Linked DNA regions of Macaca mulatta. The main gene of each other region encodes a partner of the protein of the gene in region 3 in a complex. Links are inferred from orthologs where the notes say so. Each region holds a gene or a part of one and is shown on either strand. Other genes may lie near its edges. The genes, in order: TIMM17A, TIMM17B and TIMM23.

Region 1 (3,654 bases), on a different chromosome or scaffold from region 3:
CGTAAAACAGTGTCTGGCATGTAGCTATACAATACTAAATTGTCAATTGACCATCATCATTGCTACACATCTGCAGATCCATTCTTCAAGTCCCTTTAAAATGATCAGACATTTATTGCAATACATGAGCACTGATAAACCCTAAGTACTATAAAGAAAGATCAACAGCAAATTTATACAAAAAATTTTTGTTATTGTGACTAAATGTAACATGTTCATTTTTTACCTATTATCACAGTCCTCATGAACCACAGCATATTAATACATACCACACATTTTAGCAGGCAAAGTATGTTCTTTCTTAACATCAGAAAACCATTCCAAAACGTCTGAGCTATAGTTTTAAGCAAAAAGAAGACTCACCATTGGGAAACTGTGCAGAGGCAAATCTTGTCAACAAGATACCAGCTCCTTCAATTAAAGCTAGGAGAATGCCACCCATTGCAGCTGACCCAACCATGGCCACTGGTCCATCTGAAGACATTAATAACAAAGAGATTATTTTTTACAGAAATCTAGTTTACTGTAAGAGATAGTAAAGAAGAGAACTGTCCATATGGCTACAGGCTCCTCCAATTCCCAAACTCTTACTGCCTAAGACCCAAAATCAGTAAACTACGGCCGCCCACAGGCCACCCGCTGCCTGTTTTTGTAAATAAAGTTTTACTGAAAGGCCGGGTGTGGTGGCTCATGCCTGTAATCCCAGCACTTTGGGAGGCCAAGGCGGGCAGATCATGAGGTCAGGAGTTTGAGACTAGCCTGGCCAACATGGTGAAACCCCGTCTCTACTAAAAATACAAAAATTAGCCGGAAGTGGTGGTGGGCACCTGTAGTCCCAGCTTCTCAGGAGGCTGAGGCAGGAGAATTGCCTGAACCCGGGAGGCGGATGTTGCAGTGAGCCAAGGTTGTGCCACTGAACTCCAGCCTGGGTGAAAGTGAGACTCCGTCTCAAGAAAAAAAATAAAGTTTTACTGAAACACAGCCAAACTGTTTCGTTTATGTATTATCCATGGCTGCTTTCATGCTATGACAGCAGAGTTAGGTAGCTATGACAAAGACCACATAACCCGCAAAGCCTAAAATATTCACTATCTGGCCTTTTACAGAAATAGTTCGCAAACCCCTTGGTCTAAACCACTAAGCTCAAAGGAATTCTGGTTTGCTCTCTGTCCTGAGGATCCAGAAGATGGTTCTAACTTCCTTATTCATAACAATTCTATATGGCAGGTATAATTATTAACTAACTCCAGATTACTGGTGAAGAAATTATAGCATAAAGTTTGGTAAACTGACCAGTCATACAGCTAATTAATGGCAGAACTGGGACCTGAAGTGCTCTCAACCACTGTAATATATGGGTTAGAATTCCATGCTCTCTCATTCTTAAATATTCCAAATAAAGAGATCCCCTTACTTTTTTTTTCAAATCACCATATACTGTATATTTATGCTATGCCAAATTAAGCAATGCTCGTTTTTTATAATTATTATTATTTTTGAAGCAGGGTCTCGCTCTGTTGCCCAGGATAGAGTGTGGTGGCTCAAGGGATCCTCCTGCCTCAGCCTCATGAGTAGCTGGGACTATAGGCATGCACCAACACACCCAGCTAATTACATTTTTTTTTTGTAGAGACCAGGTCTTCCTATATTGCCCAGGCTGATCTCAAGCTCTTGGGCTCATGCAATCTACCTGCCTCAGCCTCCCAAAGCGATGGAATTACAGTCATGAGCCAATGTGCCTGGTCAATAATCAGTTTTATATATTACAGATGTCATTCAATTAAGGCAGATGAGGTTTTCCAAAAAGTGTGACTTCTATAATGACTACTTACTTCTTGCTGCCAGTATGGCTCCCGTTAAGGCACCACTTGTGATGGAGTTCCAGGGATCTTCCTTTCCTCTGACTTGAACCATGCTACAGTCAATCATGGAAAACAGGCCTCCCCAAACTGCAAAGCTACCTATTGTATTGTAAAAAGAAACAAGCAAATACTAATTTAAATTTCATCTTCCATTTAAAGTATGAAGTCAAAAACAACACTCACTATATTCTCAAAACTCTTATAGTCCAATACATGCAAACACAAGTTTGAATGAACACTGAACAAGAGTCAGAATACTTATCTTTTGAATAAAGCTGGATTGTATTGTATCAGCTGGAAAATTAGCAATGGCCCAAAGCCTAAAAGAAATAAGCCAGCCAGGCGCCATGGCTCACATCTGTAATTCCAGCACTTTGGGAAGCTGAAGTGGGTGGATCATCTTAGGCCAGGAGTTCAAGACCAGCCTGGCTAACATGGCAAAACCCCGTCTCTACTAAAAATATAAAAATTAGCCGGGTGTGGTGGCGGGCACCTGTAATCCCAGCTACTGGGGAGGCTGAGGCAGGAGAATCGCTTGAACCCGGGAGGCAGAGGTTGCAGTGAGCCAAGATCATGCCACTGCACTCCAGCTTGGGCAACAAGAGCGACACTCCATCTCAAACAAACAAAAAAGAAATAAGCCAAGTTCTATGCCCTGGGAGACAGCTATGATGTCTAGGTATATTAGAAAATATACCTAAAAGAGTCAGGTTGCGTATGTGTAAAAACAAGCAAATCACCTTTCCAGAACAACCTATCTCTCTGGTTTAAGTAGCAATAAACAAAATCAAACTACTCTGCTTCCTCTTTCCTTCTCCTTTTCTTTCATAGCTTCACTTACCTCTATTTTTGGCCTTTCTTCATTATATGTCATCGAGCATCTACTCTATGAAAATTATCGATGGGAAAACAAAAGAAATCCAGCTATTCTGGAATGTATTACAGGTTTAAGCCAATACATGCTGAAGGGGCAAATGAATGATATAAATAGCTAGAATTATGGAACATCAAAGGGATGGAAATTGCCTTTCTATCCTTTATTCCTCAGATATGAATTTAAAACAACCTTAAATCAGCAGATTACTTTGCACTTAAACTCTATCTAAATACAAAAACAGTATCGCAAAATAAACAAAGACCCACACACATACATACATATACAAGTACAAACAAAATCTAAAAAGACAACACTAAGGTTTTAATTGTCAGCATTTCTGGATGACGTGACATGATTTCATTCCTTTGTGTTTTTCTATATTTTCCAAGTCTTCTAAAATGAATACGTAAGACTTGCATCATATAAAGTTATTATATTTAATAGGATTAAAGAAAAAAGTGGCTGGCCCTTTCTTTGTTGTCTCCATTTTCACTGCTCCACTTGATTAGCCAAAAAAAGAAAAGAAAGAAAGAAGAAAAGCTGCACAAAGCAGTCACTTTAATCTTTACCCTTTGAAATCTTAGGGTAGGAGGTAACTTGTGTTAACAAGAGCAATAAATGGAGTTCCACCAAATGTCTGAACCAGAGCATCTCCAGGATCTTTTTCCAATTCTCACATTATCAATTAAATCTAGTGGATAGTACCAGTGGAGTACAGCATAAGCGTCCTCATTTTTAGTCCAATATTAGATATCACATCCTATGTAAAAATAAACCAGTTATTTCTTCTCAGTAGTTCTATGCCCTGGGAGACAGCTATGATGTCTAGGTGTATTAGAATTACCTCACTAAAATTTTCTGGCAAGACCCTCCCATTTCCTCACGAGAGCCTAAAATCTCAGGAGAGCCTTCCCC
Region 2 (2,206 bases), on a different chromosome or scaffold from region 3:
AGCAAGACTCCTTCTCAAAACAACAAATAAAAACACTTGACCATACTGAGCAGAGGAGAGCAGAAAAGCAGTTCTATGGCAGAAGGGGAGGCTGATCCAGGGCACCTTCTTTGAGGGAGCTAGGTCTCCTGGCCCTCTTCTTCCATCCCAGATCTACCCTGAGGCCACATGGAGGGAGGGAAATCACCTTCACAAATGCTGTGCTGAGTGTCCAGAAAGAAGGGACTCCTGTGAGGCCACATTTCCCAGCCTCGGCGACAGGGGCTGTGGAGCAGGGGTCAGGGGTATTGGGGTGTGTGTAGGGGGATGGGGTCAGGGGTACAATGTCTAGAACCACCCCCGCCCCCAGCAATCCTGGTGTTTATTCACTTCTTTCCCAAGCTTGTTCCTCTGACAGCTAGGACCCATCACCCAGCCCCAGACAACCTTATTCATGTCGCTAATTCACATCTTCATTCTCCCTTCCTGCTCATCCAGCCCACAGACATTTACTAGAGCCCATCTGCTGTAGGCCTCCAAGTCCTAGGGCTTCCAAGTCCCTGAAGCAGGCTCTGCCCCTTGTCCTAAGGAGGGGCCCCATAGGCAATTCAAGGAGTCCACACATAGGCATTTCAAAACAGACTTTAAATACTCATCAGGGTGCCACACAAAGGAGCTGGGGTGAGAACTTCGTACATGTGAGTGTGGGGCTGGGGTGCCCTGAGAGAGAAAAAGGGGACCCATCTTTCAGGGCAGCTGGGGTGCCCCACCCCCACCCTGGGACTAGGGAGCAGAGTAGAAGCCCTCTCTGGAGGGTCCCAGGGCTAACTGGGAGCCAGCCCTCCCTTCGAGGTAGATCATCGGGGAGGGAACCGAGAAGCAGCTCCCATGGTGGCAGTGGCTTCCTCAGTGGTACTGCTGATAGCTGGGATAGCCTGGGGCTGGGGTGCCGTCCTTAGGGGGCAGCTGGCTGGGGTCCTCCAGGAATGGGGGCGCTGGAGAAGGGAGACTCGGGTAAGGATGAGTGGAAGAGGCCAGGTGGAGGATTTCCCACTCCCCCGACCACGAGTTACTCACCATTTCGGAACTGCTGGGCCGTGTAGCGAGTGAGGAGGATGCCAACGCCCTCAATGAGGGCCAACAGGATGCCCCCCATCATCGCTGAGCCCACCATGGCCAGTGGGCCACCTGGGGGAGTTGGAGGCAGAGAAACAGAGGTGAGGGCAGGCAGAACAGGGTGGAAGGGGCTGGGGCCAGGGCCGGGGGTACTCACTGCGGGCAGCCAGTACAGCCCCGGTCAACGCTCCACTGGTGATAGAGTTCCAGGGATCCTCCTTGCCCCGAAGCCGCACCAGGCCACAGTCGATGGTGGAGAACAGGCCCCCCCACACTGCGAAGCTACCTGTAGTGGAACCGAGGCCTAATTAGTTCGTAGGAAATCCCGAGAATTCACATCTCAGGGGACTTCCAAGGCCTGAATGCTTTGGCCAAGAACAGGGAGAAAAACCCAGACACAAAGGCAGATAGCAACCCCCCATAGAGTATTTTCTATCTGTCCCCATCCTGTGGTAGCTCCCACTTCAAGCTGTCTGTGATCACCATCAACGTTCCCTTCACCTTTATGGGGAGCTGACAAATGTTTACAAGCAGATTTACCTTCATATGGCTTTTAACAGAGCAACTTTGAGCTTCATAATCACCACAGAGTTGGAATTCTGATTTGGGTTTCAGTGAGAAGGAAATAGGAAACCCAGTTAATATGATAGTTAAAATGTTTACTGAGGGCTTACTGTGTGCCAGGACCTGTTTGAGGTACTGTGTTATTTGACTTTTGCAATTTTATATTAGTTAATGTTATTAAAGTGTTTAGCATAGCAACCAGCACTTAGTAGTATATAAATTACATAAACTTTAAAACTACCAATGAAGTGGTTACTGTTATCACCACCCCTGGTACGGGTGAGGTTCAGAGAGGTTAAGCCACTAGCCCAAGGTCCCACGGCAGGGAATAGTCAGGACCTAGATTCAAATTCCAGAACCCACTTTCTTCCCCTCCATATTCAATTGTTGGGAAACATCACCCCTCTGGAAAGTCTCCCGCAGGGGCTAGAATCTGAACCCCCAACTTGCAGCCTAGACCCAAAGGATCAACCACTCCCACCTTTGCCAAGACATCTCCTATATCTATCTCCCCAAGTCCCTCACCTCCAATCTGGGGGGCTCGGAT
Region 3 (4,326 bases):
CTGCAACCTCCGCCTCCCGGGTTCCAGCGATTCTCCTGCCTCACCTGCCTCAGCCTCCCGAGTAGCTGGGATTACAGCCGCCCGCCACCACGCTCGGCTAATTTTTTTTGATTTTTAGTAGAGACGGGGTTTCACCACACTGGTAAGGCTGGTCTTGAGCTCCTGACCTCAGGTGATCCACCAACCCCCGTCTCCCAAAGTGCAGGGATTACAGGCGTAAACCACCGCGCCCGGCCTCAATTGCACTCCTGAAACACTCACTCACTTCCTCCTCATCTAACTTCTACTCATTCTAAACTCCTCAGAATAAGCATCTCATCTTCTGGAGGACTATTTTCGATCCCATAAATTAGGTTAGGTAGAACAATCTGTCCTTCATGTATCAGAACATCCATTACCTTTTATTATACTAACTTTTGCTATTGTCTCTCTCTCCAGATAGATTTTAAGGTATGAAGGCAGAGGCCAAGCTTCTCTTGTTCAACACTGCATGCCAGGGACGGGTACAATGCCAGCTTAGACTAACAGCTCTGCACCCTGGGACCCAGAATCTGAACAAGTGAAGTTGTTTTCTTCCTATCTAGAGGCCAAAGGGCCCTACTGTTTCACATACACAACTACATCTCCTTGACGACTAAGGCAATTTCTCAATCAAACCTGAAGAAGCAAACAGGTGGTGGAGTCTCCTGCCATTTTCCGCCCTGTGAGTGACTGCTCATCAGTTTCTCACAACAATAGCACTGGGAAAAATGCGGCCCCATTCACCCACTAGTGGCTTTGGTAGCTCAGCAAGTGGACCTCAGCATGATAATGCACACAAGACCAGAAAGGAGTGACTGGAGCCCCTGGGTCCTCAGACTGAGACCAGAAGGTTCCGGCCGAGGCGAAGAACAAATATTTTTATTTTCCCACGTACCAAGCGAGGTGGCGCTGCCTCTGTGCTGTCCCGCCCGCCCTGGGACGCAGGCTGGCGAGGACGGTGGGACCCTGAACTGCACGTGAGCGTCCTTGGGGTCGAGGACGCGCCTCTGCCTGCTGGGAAAGCTCCGGGCGTCCGAAGCAGCCGGCGAAGTTGGAGCGGCGCCCCAGCGGGGTCGCTTGGTGCAGGGTTCACAGCCGGGGCCCGCATTCATGCTGGGACCCGCAGCGCACTGTCCCCGGGCCGGCCCGGGCGGAGAGCCTCATTCACTAACCGTGAGAGGGATGGACTGCACCTCCTTCTCCGCGCCTCCCCGCACCATTCCCTCTCCGCTGCTTCCTGCTTCTGCAGTTGCTGACCGCGGGCCTCCAAAGTCAGGCCGTAAACAGTCTCCTGCAGTCCCTCTTCCACTGGCACCCCACCTGCCTCAGAATGCGCCGCTTTGATTCGTGATTCGTTCCCTTTCCCACCACCGGAAAGCTGCCGTCAGGCGCTTCCGGCTTCCGGGGCGCACACTGCCGCAAAGCGGAAGCGCGGCGCTTAGGGGGAACCGGCGCCCGGAAGGTCAGCGTGTGAAGGAGGCGCTAGCAACGCGGGGGTTACCCGCTGTTATTGAGGAGCAACGGCCCAGCGGACCACCCAGACTCGAGACAGCGGCGGGAACCACTCGGTTTGCTGAGATACCATGGAAGGAGGCGGGGGAAGCGGCAACAAAACCACAGGGGGATTGGCCGGCTTTTTCGGAGCCGGCGGAGCAGGTTACTCGCACGCGGATTTGGCTGGCGTCCCGCGTAAGTATGGGGCCTACCTTGCGATTATTTCTGACTGGTTCTTGCGTCTTCACTAAAGTTGCGCGTCCCATGTTTTATGTTTTTTTTCCTTTCTGGCATTTACAAGCTTCAGCACTAGTGGTGGGGTTAGTGTGTCTGCATGGCTGCTCTTTCAATATCGAAAGGCCTTAAAAAGGGCCACGGATCTCCCGGAGAAGCTGTCCGTGATTGACCTGGACTCGCGAGATGATGCATGTTTTCTTAGGTTTATATCCAAGCCTCGTGTCTTTTGTGTGGTGGGCCGTGTGATTGGCCCTTGATTAAGAGTAGAGCCCAGCTTTGGGAGTAAATGTATTCCAAATAGCAAGCCGTAGTTAACTTTTTAGTACACAGCGACGTATTCTGAACCCCCAAGTAGCCGTTAGGGCAGAACATTCAGTAGTATTGCATGTAAGTGAGAAATAAGTATGACTTGGGACAGGCTGGGAAACCATTTCTAGGAGCTAGGAAGTAAGCTGAACTTTAAAGGTGATATATATGCCACGTAAGAATTATAGGAAAGGAAATAAGCAACAACATAAAGGATACAGAGGCATAAATTCCTTGCCTTTGCCTCTCCTCAGTCTTGCGAATATGTATTCCAGAACTTTGGTACTTTGTAACTGTGGTTATTCAACTGGATAAATAGAACTTGGACCTAAAGATAGGCAGTTGGTCGTGGATAAAGCCTTTACGAAAGTACTTTCTTTTTAGAGAATCCTTGTAATATTTTTCTAGGTGTTTTATATTAAAGGACAGCAACAACAAAATATGTTCAGACTGACTAGCGCAAAAAAAATATAAAAGAAAAGACCTTTCATATCCCTGGTGTCACCTTTGTCAAAAAACGGAATCTACAACACAAGGTGTTCTGTTCTGTTCTGTTGTTTTTTTCTGTTTTTAGAGTCAGGACCTCGTTCTGTCACCCATGCTGGGGTGCTGTGGCATGATTATAGTTCACTGAAGCCTCGCACGTCTGAGCTGAAACAATCCTCCCCTTTAAGCCTCCTAAGTAGCTGGGACTCTAGACACGTGCCGCCACGCCTGGCTAATTTTTTTTTTTTTTTTAACTTATTATGGAAATGGGATCTCCCTGTGTTACCCAGGCTGGTCTCAGACTCTTGAGCTCAAGCCATTCTCCTGTCTCGGCCTCCCAAAGTGCTGGGGTTCCTAGGCCTGAGCTACCACTCTACCTGTTTAGAACACAGTTTCATATTAATCTTAATATCTCTGAGTTTCAGAGCACAAATGGCATACGCTTCCTTAATGTGACAATATTGTTACCTTAATATGATTAAGATTTGAAGGTAAATTGAGGGACCAGGGAATGAACACCATTTACTAAACTTTTACAATGTGCTAGCTAGTTTTCTGGGGGCAGGACTATAGTGGTTTTTTTGTGTTTTTTTGTTTTGTTTTGTTTTGAAAAGACTCTTGCACTCACAGAGCTTACATAATACTGAGGTAAGCCAACAAACATAAATTAAAACATTACAGTTAGTGGTAAGGGCTGTAAACGGGAATAAAGCAGAGTCATGAGATTGTGATGGAAGCAGGATGCCATTTTAGAACGGGTTAGGGAAAACGTCTTAAGGGAGTTGACATTTGAGCTGTGACCCAAATATAGTACAAATGCTTGGGAGGCAAGTATCCAGGAAATTAGCTAGTGCAAATGTCCTGAAACAAAACAAATTTGGTATGTTTAAGGAACAACTCTTAGGCCACTCTGTCTTCATAGTTACAAGGGAGTTGAATCAGCTGACGATTGTGAAATCAGAGAGGTAGGGAATGACAGCTAATGTAGGGTTTTGTAGGTTATGGTAAGGAGTTTGGATTTTCTTAAGAAAAATCACTGTAGTTGCTATGTAGACTGTGAGTTGAAGGGGCAAGAGAAAGCAAGGAGTTAGGTAGGAAGTTGTTGCTGTGAGATATGATGGTTGGACTAGGCTGGTAGCAATAGAGATAAGTAACAATTCAAAATAGGTGATGAAAATAGAATAAACAGGACTTATAATTGATGAAAAGATCAGAGGCATAGGTGATACATATATTTGTGAATTAACTGCTGAAATACAGAAGAATCCAAAGATTGATAGGTTTTACTGTTTTCAGTGTTAGTGAATTCAGGTCTGGCCCTCTGAAAGTTTGTATTTTCTTTTGCACAGACCCACATACCTATGGTAATGACCCAAGGATTCTCACCCTTGCCACAGTAAATCAATCCTTAATAGTAATATGTGAAGGAACTGCCTTGAAATACTTACATACAACATGTACATAGGCAGAAAACCCAACCCAACCACTCTTTTCCCCATGGAATTGATTAGTCTTTTCTCAGTCTTATTTTGCAATTTACATAGTCACCAAGCATTCTTCTAGTAAATTGAAAGAAATTAACTATAAATGGCCTAGGCTACACTTCCTGTAAGTTCAGTAATCTGATCTATGACACTGCAAATATCTTACCTGGTGTAAAAGCCTGAGCCACCAGTGGAAAACCTGGTTTGGGATTGAGGGTCTGAGGATATCCTGAGTCAGCCCCCAAACTGACAGGGAGGATAAAATGGGAAAAAATTTTCGCCTTCAGTGAGCCTATAA

Evidence for each region.
Region 1: TIMM23 (region 3) and TIMM17A share a complex: the UniProt entries of both Homo sapiens proteins name them as parts of the TIM23 complex. The link is inferred for Macaca mulatta from reciprocal best matches to the Homo sapiens genes TIMM23 and TIMM17A.
Region 2: TIMM23 (region 3) and TIMM17B share a complex: the UniProt entries of both Homo sapiens proteins name them as parts of the TIM23 complex. The link is inferred for Macaca mulatta from reciprocal best matches to the Homo sapiens genes TIMM23 and TIMM17B.

What each region holds. Positions count from the first base shown.
Region 1 is NC_133406.1:59,621,519-59,625,172, reverse strand, and holds part of TIMM17A (mitochondrial import inner membrane translocase subunit Tim17-A), read right to left. Parts: intron 1,962-3,654; coding exon 1,833-1,961; intron 475-1,832; coding exon 364-474; intron 1-363. UniProt on the Homo sapiens protein: Essential component of the TIM23 complex, a complex that mediates the translocation of transit peptide-containing proteins across the mitochondrial inner membrane.
Region 2 is NC_133426.1:48,966,461-48,968,666, forward strand, and holds the end of TIMM17B (mitochondrial import inner membrane translocase subunit Tim17-B), read right to left. Parts: coding exon 2,185-2,206; intron 1,382-2,184; coding exon 1,253-1,381; intron 1,168-1,252; coding exon 1,057-1,167; intron 975-1,056; coding exon 886-974; 3' UTR 606-885; downstream 1-605. UniProt on the Homo sapiens protein: Essential component of the TIM23 complex, a complex that mediates the translocation of transit peptide-containing proteins across the mitochondrial inner membrane.
Region 3 is NC_133414.1:59,221,975-59,226,300, reverse strand, and holds the start of TIMM23 (mitochondrial import inner membrane translocase subunit Tim23), read left to right. Parts: upstream 1-1,481; 5' UTR 1,482-1,604; coding exon 1,605-1,710; intron 1,711-1,727; exon of another isoform or gene 1,728-1,885; intron 1,886-4,326. Other genes in the region: PARG (poly(ADP-ribose) glycohydrolase), read right to left, coding at 917-1,133. UniProt on the Homo sapiens protein: Essential component of the TIM23 complex, a complex that mediates the translocation of transit peptide-containing proteins across the mitochondrial inner membrane.